Oryzias latipes: one gene and its partner. The protein of the gene in region 2 purifies or fractionates together with the protein of the main gene of each other region. This does not show direct contact. Links are inferred from orthologs where the notes say so. Each region holds a gene or a part of one and is shown on either strand. Other genes may lie near its edges. The genes, in order: mnd1 and psmc3ip.

What was found.
Region 1: the proteins of psmc3ip (region 2) and mnd1 purify together in Homo sapiens (co-immunoprecipitation; 6 studies listed by BioGRID and IntAct, counting the BioPlex papers as one, with this or other methods). This does not show direct contact. The link is inferred for Oryzias latipes from reciprocal best matches to the Homo sapiens genes PSMC3IP and MND1.

What each region holds. Positions count from the first base shown.
Region 1 is NC_019859.2:20,986,647-20,991,218, reverse strand, and holds the start of mnd1 (meiotic nuclear division protein 1 homolog), read right to left. Parts: upstream 2,804-4,572; 5' UTR 2,557-2,803; coding exon 2,554-2,556; intron 1,816-2,553; coding exon 1,750-1,815; intron 836-1,749; coding exon 778-835; intron 1-777. Other genes in the region: trim2 (tripartite motif-containing protein 2), read right to left, coding at 4,538-4,572. UniProt on the Homo sapiens protein: Required for proper homologous chromosome pairing and efficient cross-over and intragenic recombination during meiosis.
Region 2 is NC_019866.2:6,749,667-6,754,204, reverse strand, and holds psmc3ip (homologous-pairing protein 2 homolog), read right to left. Parts: upstream 2,939-4,538; 5' UTR 2,852-2,938; coding exon 2,833-2,851; intron 1,697-2,832; coding exon 1,596-1,696; intron 1,514-1,595; coding exon 1,424-1,513; intron 1,343-1,423; coding exon 1,231-1,342; intron 1,156-1,230; coding exon 1,010-1,155; intron 932-1,009; coding exon 878-931; intron 787-877; coding exon 727-786; intron 662-726; coding exon 605-661; 3' UTR 434-604; downstream 1-433. UniProt on the Homo sapiens protein: Plays an important role in meiotic recombination. Stimulates DMC1-mediated strand exchange required for pairing homologous chromosomes during meiosis.

The DNA of each region.
Region 1 (4,572 bases), on a different chromosome or scaffold from region 2:
ATTTCAAATGTTGTAAATCTTTATTATTCCACTTACAGGGACACAACCCATTGTCGATCCTGACACTCGACGGGAGCAAAGTAATTTGAAAACGCCTTCTTGGATGAAAAAGTGAACAACGATGATAAAAATCTGTTTAATTATGTAAAGGTAAATCGGAAGTTGTTTTTTTTTCTTTTTTCTGGAGGAATCCACTGGCTCTTAAAGTGGCAGATCCCTTCCTCGTATGATTCATTCTCTTATTTCATTTCTTCTTCATGTTTTCCTTGTTTTACAAACAAGAACCAGTCTGGAATAAATCTTCATCACTGTTGGAAATGACATATAGAAGCCCCATAAGGAGGGAAAAGTCCATCTGGGGAAACACGTTCACTGCCTGTGATCAGTCAGATCAGGTTACTTCAATCAAGCCAAGTATTACAGATTAATCGGATCTATTTATCTCATTATCAGCTGTTGGGTTTAATAATAAGCAGCAAGTCCACAAGCACAGAAATACAGACTTTATATTACAGAGGATTTCCCACATCCTCTTTTGTCTACTTTGCTTTTTGTATGTTTTTTTTTTGTGTTATGTGTGTTGTTTTTTGTGTCATGTTAGGTACCAAGTGAGCCGCCAGGGGGCGACACAGATCAAGTCAACTAGAGAACAGCATTTATAAAAAGTAAAAAAATAAAAACATTATAGAGGTTTAAACTTATTAAAAGGCAGAGTAAGAAAATGCTTAATGTCTATTTATTGTGGATTGACGACTGTTTCAGCTGTTGATCACTCACCTATGCCTTTACTCTTGGGTGCAATCTTTTCTATGTCTTTAAGTTGAAAAACATCTTTCTGGAATGAGAAGAAGAAAACAGCTTCACAAATGCATTACCTCTTTTTTGTCTTCATAAATGAGTCACAAACAAATCGAGCTTTTAAATGTAATTTATTTAGCTATTCTAGGGGTCTGAATCACATGTGGCTCCATGGCCACAAGACATATTAAATAACATTTTTTTCAAAAAATAAAAGTGTCTTGACGTGATTTAATTTTTGTTATATTCACGATTTAAAGGCTGAGATGCTCACATAACAGTAAGATAAACTTCTGCAAACTCTGCCTATTATTAGAATGAGATTAAGGCACCTATTATCTTATGCTGCACAGCAACGTTTAGCTGTTGTGCAAATCAGAAGTGCTAATAATATACATTTATGTATCAATGTATTAACTTCTCTGTTAGATTAGAAATCTTTCACCTCCTGTTTAATATTCAGGTAACAGTAGCGGTGGTGAGAACAACATAAGATGAGGGATGTGTAGAACAGGGCAACTTATTTAAAAAGAAGTCATGCCTGCCTCTTTTAAAAATAAAAGCCAATATTAGATTTGGAAACAAATGTTATTTTTGAATTATATTCTTATGTTTTATAGTTGAAAAACTATAAATCAATAGTAACAATACTAAACACCACGCAGAGTTGTATCTTATATTAAAAGCCTTTGCTGCTTTTAATCCCGTAGAGTCTTACTTTGTCAAAAAAATATATATATATTTTTTTAAATGCACTCAAAATATTTTTTTCCAACATCTGATATTGTTTTTATGCACAAAAAAATAAAATTAAATGTTTTTCATGAAAAGATGCTTCCAAGTGGCAAAAACAATGAAAATGTTTTAAACAATCATTTAAATTAAATCCACACAATCAATACAGCATCAACAATGTGACACAGAAATGTGACCAAGATGACATGAACTCACCGATTCAAAGAAAATTTCCATCATTCTTGTTCTCTTCTCCTCCAAACTGAGGCCTTTCTTTTTAGACTGTAACAAAAAAAATTATTTTAATCCTAACAGACCATGCCTGTTCTTCATCAACTTTTAACAGAGCAACATGTAAAATATTCTTACCTTTAAAGATTATTTCTTTTAAATTGTATTTAGGTTTGGATGTATCACATATACTGCAAACTAATGATATATGTAGGCAATTTTCCCCATCCACTGTTAATTGAGAATATTTGAATTTAGGTGAAAAGGGAAAAGAAACACTAATATAACACACACATTAGAGAACACTGAATCTGTAGTTTTCCTCCCATCCAACAGATGGCAGTATTGCATTCTAGGGGTGGTTTAAGTCGTGTTAACGGATGTAGTTAATACACTTGTATTATATTAGACCCCAAATAAAGCACTTTTAGAATTTAGACTTTCATAAAAACTACTCTTTTGGGAGGTTTTCTATATGTATTTAACTGTGAATCTTCAAATCAACGTCATATTCTTTACGAAGAAAAAAACCCCCGTCAACCCTGATACTTTGAAAAATAGATCTCACTAACAAAATCCTGAAGTTCACTGTAGTTTCCAAACTACATTAACATTAACCGTAACCATTTACATTAACCGTTGAAGTTTGTCTATTTTGACATCTTATTGTAGCGCTTTAATTTAAGTGAGCTAGATTGCAGACCATGATAGTATGTATAGTTGTTCGCTCGGCGCTTCCTTCACCGCACATCAAAAACCCACACTGGCATATTCAAATCCCCGTCTTACCATTTTGTGATGTGAAGAATTCCAGCCGTCCACAACATTAAAATCTGAAAGTGTTAAATTGAAGGTTCTACTTTGTTTCCGATCAAAGAGCAGAAAAAGAATCCTGAAATTCCCGCGGAAGGATGACACGTAATGATGCTGAGTTTAAGATCCCCCGTAAAAACGCATTCTGGGCCAAACACAACGCATTTTAACGTTTTAATTGCAGCAATAATTGGCATTTATCCAGAATAAACCAACAACTGAGAACATTGATCAACTGTGTAACATGAATCCCTCTTCCAAAAGATTTATTTTTTAAAAATACGTATTTCAAAGACAAATATGCAAAACTATTAACAAGAGTTACAGCTGATATCTAACATCAAACTGATTAACCCTTGTGCTATCTTAGGTGACCCCACCCTCACATTGACGTGTTCTCCTTACCATGAAAAAGGTGGAAAGATTTCATGTAATCCACCAGTGAAGATCACAAATCATTGAAAAAAAAAAGGTTCAGCGCACTGTCTCTAATGGGTCTAGATGACCCAACTCCCAATGTTAAAATGTCTAGGATAGCACAAGGGTTACGATGAACAATTTTGTTAACGAGATTCCACACGCCGAAAGAGGTTTGATATAACTTTTGTATTTATTATTCCTACCGCCATTGAAAGCAGCATCCCTGGTTTACGAAACACCTTGGAGATTGTCGCCCTCTGCTGTTCAGAAAGGTGTATTGACCTCTTCAGATTCGTTCCATGAACCGGTATACATTTTTACATTTGGGAAAAAAGAAACACTCACTTTTATGCTCGCAAGTTTGTGCAGGCCAAAGTACATTTTCATAGGAAACACATCTACAGAAAGTAGCCATAGCTGTTTTCTTTGGGCACTTTAATTTCACTTGGCGTTAAAATAAAAATAAATACATAAAATAAAACTTTTACAGGATTGTGTAGAAAATGAGGGACCAAAGTCAAAATTACAAATAGTGACAATTATGTGCTTAAAAGAAAATTATCCAAGTTTTCTAAAGCAGGAACCCAGATGCATTATTACAATTTTACTTGATGAACTTCATACTCCATCTTCTCCCTTTTCCTTTCGTGAAAACAGTTGCCAAAATATACACTTCCTAAGATCATGACGAACATACTGAAAACACAGATGTACAATGAAAAGAAGTAAAGGTGATTGAAGCTCTACCTCTAGTGTCGTTGCATACATTTTGTTGGGACCAAATCTCAGCATTTTTGCCAACATTTGCCCTTAGACTTAAAAAGGAAAACAAAGTGGATCATGAATAAAAATAAAAAATAAAAACATACAAATGGAAACAAATATTTTACATACAAACATTAACATAAACAGTTTTGTGGCGTAACTAAGGAGCTGTGTGTTGTATCTGACCCAAGAGCAGAAGAGGGTGGAATTGATTTCCCACACTATTGCCGTCTTAAGCATCATTCTTAGAATAATACCTCTAATGAACATTTTTGCAGTAATGGTAATGTCATACAAATTGTGCAAGATAATTTACGTCATGCTCAGAGATAGTCTTTTCATGCTCTAAAGCATGAAGGTGGCGCAATGTTTTCTGCTTTTGTGAACAGGCAAATTATCAGAACTTCCAATATTTCAACAAGATTCAACAGTTTTAATTACCGTGATTTACAATTTCTAGGGTGATAAGGTTCTCTTTAATCTCATTCCTCCTTAAAAAGCTGTTTCTTTCTATTTCCCAGTTTTCTGCATGGTGATAAAGTTGCTTTTTTTTAATCAGCATACGATAATTAGGATGTGAACAAATTTACATTAGTGCATCAATGATCAGCAAGCTGTGGGTGTCTGAGATTATTCATTACCTGGCATTATTCAGTTGTTTTTGGCACAAAAAGCCAAATATTAGAAGAAAAATCTAAGACGTTAAACAGTTTCCATATGAAGATGAGTGGTTGACTGTAGCACAGCACAGGTGGTTCATAGAGAATGACATGAGCTACTGCAGGTAGCGGTACACTTTGAAGCAGTGGT
Region 2 (4,538 bases):
TATAATCACAAAGCAATAAAGCAACTTTACAAAAAGTCTGATTACATTTGTGTTGGTGGGATATTTGAATATGTCTGCATTTTATTAAAATATCCGTTTGTCTTGTTGAATTGTGCTTTCTATGGCCAGTAAATTGACACTTCCAAATGGATGAAATGGAGAGAAAAAGGCATAAAATGCTATAGCAGCAGTTTGTAACAAAGCTTTTGAAAACTTAAATCTCGGGTTCAGGCATTAAAACGTCGTCCTAAGCATGACGTCGGCTCAGCTGAGGGTTCATTTTTCCCAGTTTGGTCTATACCTAAAAGCGAAGAATACCATGTTCTCCCTTTTAGAACCAAATGACTTAAACTTTCTGGACATTCAAACCTTTTTTAATTTGCCACATTTTCAAATGGAAACACGAAAACGTAACTGAAAAGTGACACATAAGTGCTACAAATAGTTGTTTTTATTTTCATTTTCAACTAAAAAATGCCATAACATTGGCTTGTTTTTATTCTAATGTTGAGTAAACATGTACTATTTATTCAAAAACCACATTTATAAATTAAACATCAGATTTGTTTTCCTAGTTTAGTAGCTTCACAATCCATCCTTTTGCTCAGGTATTTGGAAAAACCACCTTACAGTCTTCATCAGTCTCCACTCCAACTTCATCCTGTAAAAAAACAGAGTTAGAGCCCTCAGGGCTTGAAAAAGTAGATCTTTGGACGGTTTACCTACCAGGAATTCCTTTTTGCTCTTTGGATATCCCTCCAGGATTGCATCCATCATGTCTGAAGCCTGATGGAAACCAAGGAAAACCTTTCTGTGCTGCATTATCCTAATAAAAAATGTCTTTAAGACGATGCTTTTTTTATTAACAATGTCCTACCAGTCTCTTCCTCTTCCTCCACTCTTTAACGTAAACATCCCTCTCCTTGTAAACCTGTAAGCAAACGACTTTGACTGTAGAGGAAACATGCATGAGGGTCTTGGGTTGACGTGGAGTTTCTTTGGTTTGTACCTTCTCCTTCTCCTCGGGTGTGACGTGATTTGATGCCGACTTGATCTTCTCCAAACGCTCTCTGTACCCAGAGCATTCGGTTTTCAGCTGCTGGATCTCGGCGACCATTTCTTCTGTTGTGAGGGAACTGTTCAGCTCCTTCAGCTCTGTTAAAACACATCACAAGTAAATGTAAAGTGAGAAAACTTCAAAGAAATACACCCAGGGTCCTGAATCAACACCTGCGTCTAACTCCCTGCAGCTTTGTGTGACGGACTGAACCTCTGCACAGAGAGCCGAGATCTCATGATCCATTGCCTTCAGGTCTGCATCGTTCACGTCTTTGAACTGAGACTGTGGGAAAGATGGGCAGAGATGGTTGCACTCTGCAAACTTTTTACAAAACTCAAAGCATTCCCTGAAGAGAAAACCAACCTGATCTGCGAAGTAGATCTTTTGCTTCCCGTAGGTTTTCTCCTTGATCTTCCCCTCCAGAGCCAGGAGCTCCATGGCCTTGACCACAGCCTGACAGCGAATAGATGCAGTCCATCATTAGGCAAAAAGCAAACACACAGCAGGAGCTAAATGTATGGGAGCACCTCCTCACCGTTTTCCCCAAACCATGCTGCTTCTGCAAGTTACAGAAGACATCCTGCGCGCTGTAGGGCCGGTTCTTCTCATTCAGGTAGGCAAGGATGAGTGTCGCACCTGGACAGGACAAAAAAAGAAACCACAACATCACGGAGGCTTTCCCATCCTACAAACTTTACTTAAGACCCATCATCAAAAAACAGACCTTACAGAATACAGGAAATCAGCATTTCAAGCAAAGTTGCATTTATGAATGCTGGGAACTGAAGATATGTAAGAACTAAAAGGAAATTCAGTTTAAGTCTAGCAAGTAGGCTATGTACATGTAATTTAGAGAGTACAATAACTTAAATACTTCTTCAGATTAAATTGGAACATTTTAAATTGAAAAAATATATAGATAGTAAATAAAAAGTAAACTTCAACTGCCTCCTTTTTAGGACAAGTAACTTGTAGTACACTTAAATAGATTACATTTTGCTAAGGGGATGAACACAGATGGGTCAGGTGGCTAGAATAGCAGACCAAATGTTTTATGTTGAAATAGTAGATTAAATAAAGATTTAATTAAGTATTTCACATTTTTTGAACACACGAGAAAATGATAAAATTTGGCAAATTACTAAATATAATATAAAACTTCAGATGATGGAAAAAATAAAACATAAATGAACTTACTTTTAATTCTTGGTAAAGGTGATGGCAAAAAATAGTAAATTTAAGGGTAGTATACTTGAAGTTTACTTTTTAAAATGTTTCCTATATACTTTAAACCTAAAATGTTTCAATACAGATGTATTCAGTTTGTATACTTCCTAGTACGCTACAGCTACGTGGTCTATTATTATACTTGCTATACCTATAATACTCAGGGAAGCTATTCTTAGGTTAACTTAATGCTATGTCTTGCTGAAATAAATCGTATCTCTCAAGAAACACTTCTTTATACGAAACTTTTTTTCCACAGTTATTCCATATAATGTAACAATTATAAGCAGGTATCTCCTGAAGGAGCTGGATGTATTCTTCCACCACGAAAAGGCAAAAGAAAAAGGAAAAAAAAAACTAAAACAGTGGTTTGTGCCAAAAAACGAATCATATACAGTACTAGCGAAAGTTTAGCTAACGCGTCGGCTAAGTTAGCTAGGCTTTCTAACCTATTTCCTGAGCTTCGACTAAACTAGTTAGTTCAGTAATCCACCAACCTAACCAAATCGAAAACATCCAAAGCGTTTTAATTACTTTCGCCCTACCGTTATCCTTTTTGCTCATCTTTAACGACGCTGGCTTCTCTTTAGCTTCCTCGATCAAGTTTCGCGCGAATTTTGCGTCATGGAGATGATCGACTATATATAAAGATGCTTAGCTTAAGCAAAAAACTACTTTAATGTAAATGAAATTATAGCTATAATTTTGTGGGGAAACTTATTTGATAACACAAAGGTATCATCTTGTACAGTGTTTGAGTCTCAAAATAATACACTTACAATTTTTGCGGACTATCTTTTGATTTTATGCGCTTTCAAATTCAGGCGAAGTGAGACCTCTGTCATTGCAGGTGTCAGCTTGTTTCCGATCTACCCTTGTTTAGGTTTTAAGTGGGTGGCGCCTACCACTGTCAAATTTTTTTTAAGTTGACGTTGGGACGGATATCAACGAAACGTGATTTTAAATAAAGAAAATCTACAGGAAGAGTGTAGTTTTAAAAAGGTTCCTAGATTAAAATCATTATTTTATGGTTTCTTTTTCTCCTTTCCAGTTCACTCATAAACCCATAAAAATGGTTAGTTGACAGAATTTCAATAATTCAGCTACAAAGTATTTTTATATACAGCAAAAGTCAGAAATAACTGCAAACATTTTTATTCAATACAATTTTCACTCCGAAACATATCAAAACCAGATACATTTGAGAAGAAAATACAATACTGTTCACATAAAATGTATGACTTACCACCAAGGAAATGACTTTACAGATCAGCTTGAGAGGAAAAATATTTATACCAAAATAAACCAATCGAAACTAATTATTCTTAAAATGTCTGCAAATTTCAGCCAGTGCACAACTTATGTCCTTCAACCAAAGATGGATCCAGCAAACATTACACCATATTTTAAGCAAGTATTTTAAAAACAACAGAGAGCAACATGTCTTCCACTTGAAAAATCTTGATTGCCTTAATAATACTTGAAATTGTTTCAATATTTTTCCCTCTTTCAAGTTCTACACTGACATTCTGACATGGTTCAACCATGTATAGACCACCAGAACAAAAGTCACTTTAAATTTCAAAATAAAAAAGGAGACCTATATTTTATTTATTCTAGTTGTAAACAGTTTTTATATCAGAAGCTGAACATTTCTATTCCATCTTTTAAAAAAAAAGCTCGGGCCGCCTAAAAACATGACAGAAAAAATATTGAAGGATTTTTTTTTTAGATCTTTTTTCTCCAAAAAGAATACACACAAAGCTGAGAATTAGTGCAAAATAATGAAGAAGAAAAAAATCCTAAAATAAAAAAGAAGCGCCTCTTTTCTTAGGGATTACGGTCAAACTTGCAACACACGTATGTACCATCAATTGGCTCCAACAAGATTCTGCGGGTTTGTTTATCAGTCAGTAGTAAAATAAAACTCAGAAAAGTTTAAATTCAATCTTGAATGAACAGTTTTTTTTATTAAATCTACTGCTCTGATCAGCATTTAAAATCACTGAAATGAAGTTGATTAAAGAAATCCATTATCAAAAGGTCATGCCAACAAGTCAAGGACAGAGGCACACCATGAATAGTTTCTGAAAAGGTATAGAATTTGTTCTCAAATGGTTACCATCTATTGCATTGTGACATTAAAACGCTGATTTTCAACGTTAGTACCAAACTGGCTCAGTTCAAGCTAATGGAATGTTGTATTTCGTCCTAGTGTATGTTCGATATCCCTGTTGAATTAAAAAAAAAT